Notamacropus eugenii: one gene and its partner. Each later gene encodes a partner of the first gene's protein in a complex. Links are inferred from orthologs where the notes say so. Each region holds a gene or a part of one and is shown in the gene's direction. Other genes may lie near its edges.

Region 1 (6,884 bases):
CCAAGTTGAATGTTTTTCCCCTCATTACAACGTTATATTCACAAACTACAGTTTGGTCAAGTCTTTCTCAGTTAATGGGTAGTAATTTTGTTTTCAGAGTTTTTGCTATCACAAACTCTACTATGAATATTTTGGTATATGGGGACCTATATACTAAGTGGATGTCTTTGACCTTCTTGGGGAGTTATGTCCAATAGTGAGACCAAAAGATCAAAGGGGATCAGCTTTTCTCAAGTCCGAATGATTTTCCCCAAGAGTAAGACCAATTACATCACTCCATCAACAGTGTATTCATGCTTTGGATCTTCCTATAGTCCCTCCAACAATGGCTACTTTAGTCATTTTGCCAATTTGATTTGCATGAGGTGAAATCTCAAAGCTGTTTTATTTTGTATATCTTTTATTATTGGTGATTTGGAACATTTTTAATATGGTTGTTGATAGCATGCCTTCATTTGAAAAATGTTCATATTTTTTGATCTCATCTGTTGGGGAATGATTCTTGGTCTTTTATATTTGTGTGAGTTCACTATGTATTTTGGATATCATGTTGTTAGAAATATTTTATGAAAAACTTTTTTTCTAGTATAATGATGATGATGATAACTAGTGCTAAATACTTTCTGATTCCCCTTATACAGTTATAAATCTGGGACAAACAGAAGTGACTTGCCCCAAATTACGCACCTAGTAAAGTGTTAGAAGCCAAATTTGAACTGAGGTTTGTCTTGACTCTAGGACAGCACCACCCAGTTTCCCCGAAATCCTGCTCAGATAATTCTGTCATGGGTAGTTTGTGTTCTTGGTTTTATGGAACCCAGGTTTACTGGGTTTAATTGCTTACCTCATCTTCAGTATAGATAATTTATTTTATGCAACTTCTCAAGTGTAGACCATTCTCTGTACTATGCTATGACACTCACCATGCATCTTTCCATTGTCTTTTGGCATCACCTGCAATTTCAATTCTTCTGGGATTAGGATATTTTGTGAATGAGCCATCTGGCATCACTGGAGAACTATTTGTGCTAAAAACCACTGACTTTTGAATTAGAGAGGGGCTTGGGATTTTTGAAAGTGTTACATAGTTTCCCAAAGGAGATGCAGCCTTATCTTCTTTTATTCAATTTTGGCAATTCTTGAAATGCAAATAACTATAATCCACAATAATAATTGTTAAGTGGAAAGAAAGTCACAAAGTGTTGTGGAAGGTCTGAAGGAGAAGGTCCATAGTACAGGGGGATTAGGGAAAGCTTCATAAAGGAAGCTGGACTCTAGAAACTTGGAGGGAATTCATGGGGGGGGGAGGAAAGGAAGAAGGCATTCCAGATGTTGGGAAGGACCTATGCTTAGGCATATAGTAAGGAAAGCTGGGTCTTTACCCAAGGTTTCTGGGTAGAATTGCCTTGGAGAACATTGGGGTGGGGCCTGAGGGAATTTGTTCTTCCCTCCAGTCTTAAGAGGTTGTGTAGGTAGTACCCTCTACTAGAAAGTGAGAATTGCACCCTGAAATAACACTGGTCACAGAGTGTTGTAAGGAATAAACAAATGATTATAATCTGTAGGAGTTCCATGAGGCATCAGATATTGGTCAGTTAGTCATCTAGCATTTATTAAAGACCTACCACACATCAGGCACTGAGCTAAGTGTTGGAAACAATGAGGAAAGGCAAAAAAAACCCCAAAACAAATGGTCCCTGGTCTCAAGGAGCTCACAATCTGATGTGAGAGACAACATGAAAACAACTCTATGCAAAGAGGAAATAGGAGAAATTGGGGTGATCTCAACGGGAGGGCATTAAGCTTCAGGAGGGCTAGGAAAGGCTTCTGGCAGAAGGTGGGACTTTGGCTGAGACCTGAAGGAAGTCAGAGAGCCTAGGAAGCAGGGATGAAGGTTGAAAACTTTCCTGGCTTGGGGAACAACTCAGGAAACTCTGCTTCATAAATGCTGAGCTCCTCCTTCAGTAATACAGTTCTGTCCATCCTCTCCCAGAAGGCAGAACTATTTAGTAAGTTCTTTGTCTTTTGGAAATTCTTGAATGAAAGCTTTCATGAAGGAACCAGATATACTTATCATTATATGGCTCTTTGTCATCCCAGATGGGGGATGTATAGAAAATACTATCAAGAAGAAATAGGCAGTGTGGTTCAGTAGTAAGAGCTCTGGACTTGGAGTCAGAAGAAGTCAGAGAGACATGGGTTCAATTAACGGTCCTGTCACTTGCTACTGGTTTGACTTAGACAAGACACTTCTTTCAGCCTCAGTTTCCTCTACAGTAAAACTGGGGCATTGGACTCGATGGTTTCTAAGTTTCCTTCAAATTCTATTAATGAATAATTCTTGAACTTATATGTAATCTCGAAAGCAACACTGTAGACTTCCTTAACACAACATTTATGAAGTGCTCAGATCTGTGCCCCTCCCGCTTCATGGGGATTACATTGGGATAAGGGGAGGACACCAAACGGAAGTAACTGTCCATGGTCAGTATGTTAGACATCTGCCAGGATGTATTATATGGAACACAGTACACTACATTCAAATCAGTGGAACTCTTTTTACGACCCCCTTCCCCCAGGTTGGTAGCACAGATGTTCTAGTCCCTTCATAGCTCCCAAAGAGCCTGCTTTTACACTGTCCCATTCCCTCTCCTTTGGTGGATTTACTTTGATGTTCAGTGCTCTATACAAGTGGCAGAAGGCATGGTGCTTTTGAGCATGGGCTGAAAATCTTTCTGGCTTACTTGGATTTTGATTACCTGCAATTAAGCTAACACCCCCAGAAAAAAACAGCTAGGAGCCTTAGCTTTGGCAGTGGTGATCATGCACTTACTGGCCTGCGAACTCTTTTTTCCAGTAGCTTATCTTGCTCCTTTTGGAAAGCTTTAGATATACATGGGGAGGGGGAGGGCAGGTTGGAGAATGGGAAGCAGAGTGTAGGATCTTTTGAACAGGACATGGGAAGTCATAGAATTTAGCTCTGAAAGGGACCTCTGAAAGGTCATCTAGTCCAGTTAGTCACAGGATCATAGAAGTAGAACTGGCAGGGATTTTTGAGGTCATCCTGTCCAATCTATTTTTGTTAAAGATGAAGAAACTGGGCAAGTGACTTGGTCAAGGTCACACTGGTAGTAATTGGAAGAACTGGGATTGATTAGAGGTCTCTGCTTGTAAATCTGTTGCTCTTTCCTCTGCACCACGATGCTTTCCAATTCCCTCCATTTTTCAGATAAAGAAATTTCAGGGTGTGACTTGTCTAGTGTCATACAGCTAGTACGTAAGACGGATGGACATTCAAACTGGGACCTCTAACTTAAAATCCATAGCTATTTCCTGCAATACTATGGTGCTTCTCAAGGTTGAGAGAGCTTAGCTTGAGAAAGGAATTGAGATGATTTTCTTGTGTTTTGGAAAGTGAAATTCCTGGGTATCATTTTCAAAACAAGGAGGAGGCCTAGGAGCAGGGAGGAGTGGGGAGGAGTAGAGGCCTGATTGGTGGGGGCAGCGGTCGTTCAGTGTTCCATTCACTGCTCTCTAAGGTGCTTCGGTACCGTTGGTGGTCCCAGTCCCATCCTGCCCGTCGCCAGCTGCCCCCCACTGCGTGGGTTCGGTGACAAAGTGGCACTTCACGCCCATTGGCACTAGGACCCGAAGGGCAAACTGGCTCTGGGAGGGGGAAGGGGGCGGGGGGAGCGAGGAGGGAGGAGGAGGCGCCGTCGAGTGGCATGCCTATTAACTAATAGGAATCCGGGGCAGGGGGGCGGGGGCGTAGGCGCCCAGAGGGGGCCGGCCAATGGCAGGCGGGCAGCCGCTGGAGCTGCCGGCTGACGTGAGGAGCTTTCCATTCCTCCAGCGGTGGACTGCTGCCGCAGCTGGCCGTGGCTCCCGACGGCAAAGGTCCATCCCCCCCCTCCCCCCCGGCCCCCTCCCGGAGGAGGAGGAGGCGGAGGCGGAGGCGGCGGCAGCCCGGGGCTCGGGGCGGGGCGGAGGAGCCACCACCTATCCCCCTGCCTGCTGCTGAGATCGTTCGCTCCCTCCCGGAGGAGAACGCCACCTTTCCCACCGCAGTCCCGGTCGCCAGGTAAGCAGGGGGTCGTGCTTGGCTGTGGCTGGCTCCCGCGGTACCGATGCTTCCCGCTCCCTCCTTCCCTCCCTCCCCCCCCACTCTGAGCGGGCTGGCCGGTCGGTCGGCTGGCCGGCTTGGGGACAGCCTGTCCCGGATGCTCGGCAGCGGCTCCGCGGAGCCCGGGACCTGACCCGCTGGGGGGCTGTGGCTGTGACTGTGGCCGTGGCCGTGGCGGCACGTGGTGGGGCTTCCCGGGGCGCACGGGTTATGTGTGTGTATGTGTGTGTATATGTGCGTGTGTATGTATGTGCATGTATATGTGTGCGCGCGCGTGTGTGTGTCCGCGCGCCAGCCGGCTGGCAGGAGGGGCGGGTGGGGGGCTACGCGGGCTCAGTGGTGTGCGCGCGCGCAGTTTGGGGGGCGTCCCCTCCTCGCCTCGTCTCTCACTCGAGGGGGCGCTCTTGCGGGTGGGGGTGCGGGGTGCGGGGTGCGGGAGGAGGGCGCTCGCGCCGGAGGCGGCTGGGCCTCGGGGCGGGCGGCCGCCGCTCGCTGTCCATTTCTTCTCCTCGGGCTTCGGAGCTTTGTTCTGCTCGACGCCACTGGGCAGCCTCTTGCTTCCCCGTGGTGTCCCTGTTCCCCGCCGGTACAGCGCAGCCCGTCTCCCCCTTGCTGCCCCCCTGTACCCTAGGGCATCGCCCCTTCGACCATGGCCTGGAGCTGTGAGCGCCTGCTGGAGCGGGGCCAGCCCCGCGGCGGCGGCAGCGGAGGCGGCGGCCTCCTGTGGGTTGTTTCTCCTCGGCAGCCTTCCCGCCCGCCGCCCGCTCTCCCTGGCTCCTTCCCTGGCTCCCTCCCTCTCCTCTTCCCAGCATGTGGCGGGGGTGGCGGCGGCGGCTGCGATGCTCGGTACCTCCGAGGGGCGGGCTGGGCTGCCGAGGGTGGGCCGGGAGGAGAGGGTGGTGATGTTGGAGGGGGGGAGGTTCGGCTCGGGAGCGCGCTTAGGCCCCAGGGAATCGAGATGGGCCACTCCCGACTGTCCCACATAGCACCTTGCCCATTTCGTAGCAGCTGCTGCTGCTGCTGCTGCTGCCATCTTTGCTCCTTCCTACCTCCAAGCCCTCCCCCACCCTCTCTCTCCCACCTTAGTGAGTCAGTGCCCTCTACCTAGAGGTCCTTCTTCAGGAACGTGGTTTCATTCAGATCCCATAAGAACCATCAAGACTCTCAGTTTCTGGGACCCAGAGGGAGCTTAGACAATGTTTGGTTAGGGCAAATCTGGTTTGTGCAAATACATTGTGTATGCATCATGTGGCCGTGTCCAGAAATTCCTATCCATGCCAGAGAGTGACTTATCCCCTCAAGTGAGTCATGTTTGTGTAGTAAATAGAAAGAAGGTGAAAGAACAGGATCTTGGTCCCTTGAAGGACAAACTCTCTAGTATTTTCTCCCAGGCTTTGTATAGATGGTTCGAAAATAACAAGATTGGGTGGAAAGAGCAAACACCTGGGAACGGGGAAACCCAGTGCCTAGTGCTCACTTTACAACCAATTTCTTGTGTGATCTGGCCAAGTCATTTAACCTCCAGGCCTCAGTTTTGTCATCTGTAAAATGAAGCTATGATTCCTTATGATCATCAGTAATTGGGGACAGAGGTAGAAGACAGAAGGATAACAACTCATTTTAAGAAAGATTTTCCGAAGTGCTTTCACATGTATTCTCCACTGAGCCCAGCAATAGATCTGTGGGGTAGTTAGCAGAAGTATCATCCTCATGTTCATTCTGAACATGAAGAAACCGATACTCAGAGAAGTTGATGTTAAATTTGGGCTCAGAACCCTTTGACTCCAAAGCCAGGGCTCTTGCTACAGATTCCATGCTGTAAGGCACTGTTCAAATCACCTGAAACTGTCCTGCTATCTTTTGGCAGATACAGATTAGGGGCAAACCATTATGTCCGTCCCCCTCACTTATTAGTACTGCCTTTTGGGGAAAGGGCATTGGGATTATCTCATTTTTGTTTTCATTTTTCACTTTTTCTTAGGGTTGAAAGTCAGATTTTTGATGATGTTTGGCTCAACAGAAGCAGCAGCCACCAGTGCCACCAGAGTTGTGGTTCTGAGCCTGGACTTGAGTCAAATCACATTTCTCCTGTGACTGAAGGCAAGCTTAGGAGGTGTATTGCAGCCATGTCTGTGATGGTGGTGAGGAAGAAGGTGACTCGAAAGTGGGAGAAGCTCCCAGGCAGGAACACCTTCTGCTGCGATGGACGTGTCATGATGGCCCGGCAGAAGGGGATCTTCTACTTGACTCTCTTCCTCATCCTGGGGACTTGCACCCTCTTCTTTGCTTTTGAGTGAGTTCCCCTCAGGGCAGACTTGCCTAATTCCAGTTGGTAACAGTGCAACATTGGGGCAGGGAAAAAACACTTTTTCTGGGGTCTTCATTGTAGGAACTGTGTTCTTTGGCCCTTGGAATAGATCTTGGAACCATGGTAGGGGTTGGGGGAAGGGAAGGATCTTGTTTTCCACTGCTTGTTTTTGTGAGAAACAAAACCCAATCGAGCAACTAAGCCTGTCTGGTGCCAGCTCCCATAGTACTAGATCTGGGTTCACCCTAGCACGTAGGTGAAATGTATCATTTGACTTGGGTGACTCTTTGTTCAGCAACTCATTCCTTGTCCTTTGGTCCCTTTCCCAGATGTCTCTTTTCCTCATGTTTTATCCTCCCCACCCCCACCCCAAGTTCTAGCTCTTCTTTCCTGCTTGGTCCTTTCTCTCTGCCCCTTCCCTCCTCACAAAAGACCAACCCCTCCCCCCCAAAA
Region 2 (7,092 bases), on another chromosome or scaffold:
GAGTTACTGATCAGTGTCCAAGCAACCTACTTAGCCTGGTCTGGCAGTTGCTAAATGACCTTCCTGGTTAAGCCCAGCAGTAGCTGATAATGATGGGGAGCCACTTTATCAGCCAAGTTAACAGTGCAATACAGTCTAGTAGTGTATTTACCCATTCAGTCAAGATACAATGCCTTAAAAAGATCCCAATGGCCTGCATTTCCAGAGTTGTGAGTGACTTTGGCATTTTTGCATCACTGTTATTGCACTTTAAATTCATATCATTAACTTGGAAACAAACAATCAAATGTAGTATTCTCAAGTATAAATTCATCTATCAACAAACTGATAACACAATAACTGTCAGTCTAGAATGTGCTGCTTAGCATCTACATTCAGTTATGTGCTGGTAAATATTTGATAACTGTCTCTGGGGGGGGCAGAAATGTGTGCATGGCACACTTTCAAGTTTAATCTGGTTTATCAACATTTTTTTGATCACTTTCTTAGGTCTAGAAACAGTCAACAAAATGATAAAGTAAACCTGCTTTGTAGTGTTCCAGATTTTCCAGGTGTACTTATAGTGAAATTTTAACAATCAGCTCTCACTAGTCTGGTTCCAGCACAACCCTGCTTGTATAGGCTTTCCATAGACTAAGTATATATTTGTATGAGAATGTGTCCTATAAGGGTGAATTTGGAGGGTAGTATTTGGGTGATGACTGGAGGGTTCCAGGGTTTCATCTCTACCTAAAGAGGTATTAAAGGTACATAGAAAATACAATAAGACAAAAATGTATTAAATACCAGCTACTTACAATTGTTTTAACTACTAAGGAAATAAGAACTTTAGATAAGACAATATCCTGTCCCCATGAAACTTCCATAGAGATCCATAGGGATAAGACACCAACACAATGTAACAAACAGTTCTGAAAACAGAATAATCCTTTCCTCTGCCACAGAACTAAAGAGCATATGGAAGAAGAGGGAGAAGAGACTTCAGGGCTGGACAGCCATGAGGGGACAGAAATTGAAAGCAGCAGGTGCAGAAGTAAAGGCAGCAGCTAATAAATAGATGGATGTCAGAGAGTTCCTGGGCCAAGCCAGGAGCTATAGAAAAGAAGATTACTTTGGAACTCAGGTAAGGGAAGGTAGGACAGCAGTTGGGAAATGGGCTAATCAACAGCAAATGCCAAAGCAAGGGAGCACAGTCCCCAGAGAGGAGAAGTGAGTTGGAATGGACTGGGCCTGGGTCCGAGACTTGTAATAGTAGTACACAAAGCAAGGACTTGACTAGTTGGTCATTTAATATTGCGGAGCTACCACTATTCCCTTGCTGACTAGGCTTCTGCTTCTCACAGGCCTGTCCTATTTTTAAATGCTTTCATTGCAGGGGACTAAAGGAACCCAAAGAGAAAAAATAAGTAGTTTGGGGGTAGTTAGGTGTAAAGTAGATAGGGTGCGGGCCCTAGAATTAGGAAGAACTAATTCAAATACTTACTAGCTGTGGGACCCTGGGCAAGTCACTTAATCTTATTATCCCTCTGTCTTCTTAAGCCTAAAATAAAGATAATAATAGTGCTTATCTCCCAGGGTGGTACTGAGGATCAAAGGAGATAATAATTGAAGAGTACTTAGGACAGCTAAGAAGTACTATACAAATGTTAACTATTATTATTATTAACAAGAGCCAGATTCTGACCTTCCCAGGAAACCCAGGATTGGAGCAAAAGGAACCATAGAGTCAACATACACACAGTGACAGGATTAGATTTATATCTAGAACTGAAAGGGACCTCAGAAACCACCTAGTCCAACCCCAACATTTTATAGATGAGAAATGGAGGTCCAGAGAAGTTAAAAGATTTGCCTGAGGGGTCACACAGTAAGAATCTGAGATAGGATTTGAATCCAGGGCTTCCTGACTCCAAATGCATCATTCTATCCATTATGCCTGTCTATGCAGGGGTAGATCTGGGGTTTCAAGATGCAGGTTATGGCTAAGAAATGCCTTATTACATACTAAGTATATTATAGAGGTGCAGAACAAAGTGGTATGCGAGGTGCGATCAGAATGTTCCCAAGAGGCATGATCTGCTATTTTTAAATTTTCATTTTAAGTTTTGTTTAGAACCAAATGCTCTACTTATTGGTGGTTTTCTTTTTTTTATTAATGACGAACTTCAAGAGTTAGTGTGATACAATAGCTAGAAAGTCATCCTTGGAGTTAGGAAGTCCTGGGATCAAGTCCTTCCTAAGATCAATACTGGCCACGTGATTTAGAACAGGTCTCAACTCTCAGAGCCCTAGGTCTATGGCATCAAGCTCAGATGGAAGTGGGACCCCTAAACCTTACATCTGGATCCCTGCACCTTGCCCATTAACCACATACTCATACTATGTTTTATTGTATTTCATTTGAAGGATTTCCCAATGCCATTTTAATCTGGCTCAACAAGTATCCTGGCCCAGCGGGGCCAGCCGGCCCTAGGATTTCACCCCTCTGCTCTAGGCGATATTCTAAGCATATATATTGCCAGAAAACAAAAATAGTGTTGACCTGAACTGGTGGAGAATGTTTTCATGCTCTGGGAGTTCCCCACACCAATGAAAGAGAGGTCCAGGCCATTTCCTATTATCTATTTAACAATCATCAACAAACTCAAGGGTTTTGATATACAAAGAACAAGATTACGTAAGAAACTGAACTTGTCTCGCAGAGTTTGTTTTTTAAGAAACATTCAACTTGGCAAGGCGTTCATTGGATGACCCTTTCCCCATCTTGTTACAGCGCGTGTCCTTGATGCTGGAGGTGGGGCTGGGGGTGTCTGTGCCATCACTAAGCTATAAGTGCAGTCCCCTCAGAACAAGTCCACGGAGCCCTGGAGCTGCTGTTTCATTGAGCGCCCAGAGCCTTCCAACGCCAGGACGTTGGAATCCCCGGCGGAAGGCTCTCGCCCCGGTCTCCCCCACGAGGGGCTGCCGCTCCTCCCTCCGCCAGCCCCTCTCCTCCGCGGTCACCTCCGACTGGCGGGGGCTGCGGCTGCCGCTCTGGGGGTGCCGCTCTGGGGGTGCCGCTCTGCGGCTGCCGCTCTGCGGGTGCCGCTCTGGGGGTGCCGCTCTGGGGGTGCCGCTCTGCGGGTGCCGCTCTGGGGGTGCCGCTCTGGGGGTGCCGCTGTGGGGGTGCCGCTGTGGGGGTGCCGCTGTGGGGGTGCCGCTCTGCGGCTGCCGCTCTGGGGGTGCCGCTCTGGGGGTGCCGCTCTGGGGGTGCCGCTCTGCGGGTGCCGCTCTGGGGGTGCCGCTCTGGGGGTGCCGCTGTGGGGGTGCCGCTGTGGGGGTGCCGCTGTGGGGGTGCCGCTCTGCGGCTGCCGCTCTGGGGGTGCCGCTCTGCGGGTGCTGTCCAGCGTCAGCGCCGCTGCGGAGCGCCTGGTGCGGGGCCCGGACCCAGTGAATCCTCCCTGACCGGCAGGTCACGCTGACAGAGGGACTCGGGGGCTGGGACGGCCCTGGGAAGGGGCAGCTGAGCTGCGCAGGACTGTCCGTCCTCGGGACCCGGGTTTTGTATTCCTTGCTTTCTCGGTGTTAGGGGTGGAAGGCATCGCATGAAAGGGAAGGAGAGAAAGGTGTCTTTATTTGAAAATAAAGTGTAATGTAATTTTAAAAAATAGACCCAAAGGAATCATCTGGGTAAACCCTCCGGTTTTACTGACAAGGAAAGCAAGACCCGGAGTCGCTGGGTCACATTTCCAACTCAATAAACATTTATTAAGCGCCCCAGGTGCCAGCCACGCTGCTAAGGGAAAACCGTCCCTTCCTTCAGGGAGCTTCCGCTCTAATGGGTGTACCCGGCGGTAAACAAGGCAGAACCGGACTCGGAGCTTCGCTCCCCTGATCCTGCGCTCCCGCCACGAGGCCCGAAGCCGCGAAGAGGAGGGAAAGCACGAGGCGGTGCCCCACATGCCAGTCCCTCCCGCCCCGGGCTCAGCCCCTCCCCCTCCGCATCCCTCCCCACCTCTCCCCTCTCCGCAGACCGCGCCCGAGTCCGGGGCGGGGCCATTGGCGGAAAGTACCGCCCAGCCTCTTTGCGCACTATCGCGGCCGTTTCACTTTACGGCAGGCCGGAGTGGGTGGGGTAGGAGAGGTCAGGGAGGGGGGAAGGTTTAGGGTGGGGAGGAGAGACAGGAGGCTTGTTTGCAGCAGGCCGTAAGTGAGGGACGAGGCCGCGCGACAGCCGCTGGAGGGCCACGGAGAAGGCGGGTCGGTGTTTCCCAGGCCGGGGAGGGGGGTGGCGAGGGTGGGCTGGGCCGGGCTGGGGGTGGTCGGGGCGCGGGCCCGGGGGGTGCGGGGGGCAGCGCGCGGGGCGGCGGGCCCGGGGAGCATGGGGCTGGCGGGTGCTCCGGGGCCGCTGTCACGGGCCGGCTCCCGGGCCCGGCCTCTCCGGGCGCGGCCGGCGCCGGGGTCTTGAGCGGAACCGTGTTGTCGTGTCCCCCGCAGCGCTGCGCGGCCCGGCCCGGCCCAGCCCGCCATGAGGCCGCAGCAGGCGCCCGTGTCCGGCAAGGTCTTCATCCAGCGGGACTACAGCAGCGGCACCCGGTGCCAGTTCCAGACCAAGTTCCCCGCCGAGTTGGAGAACCGGGTACGGAGCCCCGAGGGACCCGCGCCGGCCCCTGACAGCTTCCTTCCTGTGGCCGGGAGGGGGGAGGGTGCGCCGTGGCTCTTCTCTGGGACCGGCAGATGGGGAAATCGAGGCAGGGTCCGGAGGAGGGGTGCTGGCGGAGAGCAGGCTGGCCCAGCAGCAGCAGCAGCGGGCGGCTTTGGGGGCCGGGGGAAGGAAGCTCCACGCTCGTTGTCAGTGGTCCTGGGCCCTTTGCTAACTCGGGAGCGAGCCTGGCATCCCACCGCCCTGTTTGAGTGGCCAGGAAATGAATGCCCGTGTGCTGCTACCTGTGTAACCCACCTGCCACCCAGGGGCAGGCTTTTTTTAATGCATTATGGAAGTGAAACACTGAAATATTTTCCCCCTTTTTCCAGATATACGGAGTAGTGTATGTATGTATGTATGCATGTGTATGTACGATTGGTAGTATTTATGTGTAATATATACTGTATCTAGTGTGTGTATACAGATATAATAGTCCATCAATAAACAATATTTAGTTAATGGCTTCTGTGTAAATACTGCTCTAGTAGTACTTATGAATAATATTTATAATACATACATATTCTGCATATACACTGTGCTGTATATATAGTATAGACATACTGTATGTAAATACTGCTATTACACATAGCATAAAGATTATACGTGGTATAAAATTGTAGATACTATACGTAAGCCACGGACTAAGTGTGATTTATTAAGAGAATATTATTTGTGTGTGTGTGTGCATACACAAACTGTTTCCTATACTGAGGTCAGTTAGTTAGTGGTTAGATGGGATCTGGTTTAGTTGCTTGTTTTTCTGTTGTTGACAGTTTACTCTGAGGTGCTTAGGTAGGTGGTGGGTGTGGGGCTAAAGAATGTTGATCTTGGAATCTGTAGGTGTAGATGAGTGTGTACTTGAGAAATTTCCTTTAATAGTGACATAAAACCATCTTGGACTCAGTTGGGTTGCTCTATAGGCAAGGCATTCAGAATAGGAGTAGAAATCTTCAGTACCTTACTATAAGATTGGTCCTTCCCTCCCTTTCCTTTAAAGCCTGAGGCAGATCGGTGCTCTGCATCTCAGTTTTCTCATCTTGAAAATGAAAATCAAACCACTTTATAGAGATGTTTTATGGATTAATCCGTTGTTTGTGAAATGCCAAATAGATATTGAGTTTTGTTATTAATCCTGAAACTGTGAGTCAGCAAAATATCAGTCATCAGTGAAATAAAGAGTGCCTCAGCTAGGCATAACTGGTTGGCCTTTCTACCATAGCCTTTTCCAAAGCACCTGCCTTGAAATCAGTTCTGTTGGCTTTTTGGAGAGGCATTAAGTAAGATAAAGAGTTGGCTATTGTTACAGCAAGTTTTACAAAGTAGCGTAGCATTTTAAATGGTAAAATCCATATGAATTAGGTGAAATTATCTTTCAAAATCTCCTACAGAATAGAATTAGAAATTTAGCAATCTGATTTACATCCCCACTGCCCCCAAAACATGGCTTGAAGCTGCCCTTTCTGAGGTCATCATTGTCTTTATAAGTGCACAGTGGCCTTTCCTCTGTCTTCGTTGTCTTTGGCTTCTTTGCAGCCTTTATTATACTCTCCCTAAAATCCTCTCCTGCTTGGCTTCTGAGACCCTGCACTCTTGTGGTTCTCTTACCTCTCACTGAGCCTTCGACTCCTTGAGGTTCTCTTCCTCCGTTGCCCAAGACTCTGCCCCTGACTGCTCTGTTCCCTTTCCTTGCTGTGTCTCTCATGGCTTGTCCACTTGTCTACAGATGACTCCCCAGACTAGATCCAATTCTTGACTTTTCTCCCATGGTACAAACCCCCTCGATCTCCTTTCTGGCTGACATCTGCATCTGGATTTTCTGCTAGCATTTCTAACTTAGCATGCCCAAAGCTAAATTCATCATGTTTCCCACAAAACTTTCTCTTCAGTTTCCTAGTTGGAAAATATCTTAGCAGACAGGAAAATACTGAATTTGGGAACAGAGGATCTGGATTCAAATTTAGCTTTTTCTCTGCCCCTATGCCCTTTTAACAAGTCACTTCACTTGGGGGGGGGGGATTAGACTAAATGACCTCAAAGTTCCTTTTAAGCTATGATCCTGTAATTATGTCAGTGACCTCATTCAGGGCTCCCTTTCATCTGGGCTCAAGATGGGCTTAGAGATAGCATTTAGTCTTCCATCTGCCTCACTGAAGGTTGCCAGTTGATCAACATTATTTCAGCTTGGCCAGTATTTTATCATAGAGGACAGCTGTTTCCTGATGATATTTTGCTATGGCTGGATTTTTGTTTTTGGTTTTAGCTTTGATTTCAATAACTCTACTCTTTCCCCATATCACTCAGTTCATAAGATCATTCTCTTCTTAGAAAAAGTCTTTTACACCATCATTTCTTTTCCATTTCAGTGCCCCCTCATTGCCACTCACCAAGACTACTGTAACAGCTTGTAA

Evidence for each region.
Region 2: the proteins of ZDHHC9 (region 1) and GOLGA7 are in contact, whole or in part, in a cryo-EM structure (PDB 8HF3), measured with the Homo sapiens proteins. The link is inferred for Notamacropus eugenii from reciprocal best matches to the Homo sapiens genes ZDHHC9 and GOLGA7. Residues at the interface, in NP_001008223.1 of Homo sapiens: Phe78, Ala81, Arg85, Ile94, Pro95, Leu98, Asp100, Glu101, Phe104, Ile105, Phe129, Gln130, Ile131, Asn132, Ile146, Pro149, Pro150, Arg182, Tyr183, Leu186, Tyr274, Lys281, Cys284, Glu285, Leu287, Cys288, Gly289, Pro290, Leu291, Pro292; in NP_001002296.1 of Homo sapiens: Lys11, Phe13, Gln15, Tyr18, Ser19, Ser20, Gly21, Thr22, Ala57, Glu58, Leu60, Ser64, Tyr65, Gly68, Cys72, Ala75, Tyr76, Thr77, Phe79, Leu80, Tyr86, Glu87, Leu90, Ile116, Arg118, Gly119, Arg121, Val122.

What each region holds. Positions count from the first base shown.
Region 1 is NC_092879.1:51,564,954-51,571,837, reverse strand, and holds the start of ZDHHC9 (palmitoyltransferase ZDHHC9), read left to right. Parts: upstream 1-3,869; 5' UTR 3,870-4,081; intron 4,082-6,104; 5' UTR 6,105-6,249; coding exon 6,250-6,416; intron 6,417-6,884. UniProt on the Homo sapiens protein: Palmitoyltransferase that catalyzes the addition of palmitate onto various protein substrates, such as ADRB2, GSDMD, HRAS, NRAS and CGAS. The ZDHHC9-GOLGA7 complex is a palmitoyltransferase specific for HRAS and NRAS.
Region 2 is NC_092872.1:619,250,508-619,257,599, reverse strand, and holds the start of GOLGA7 (golgin subfamily A member 7), read left to right. Parts: upstream 1-4,083; 5' UTR 4,084-4,239; intron 4,240-4,476; 5' UTR 4,477-4,507; coding exon 4,508-4,618; intron 4,619-7,092. UniProt on the Homo sapiens protein: May be involved in protein transport from Golgi to cell surface. The ZDHHC9-GOLGA7 complex is a palmitoyltransferase specific for HRAS and NRAS.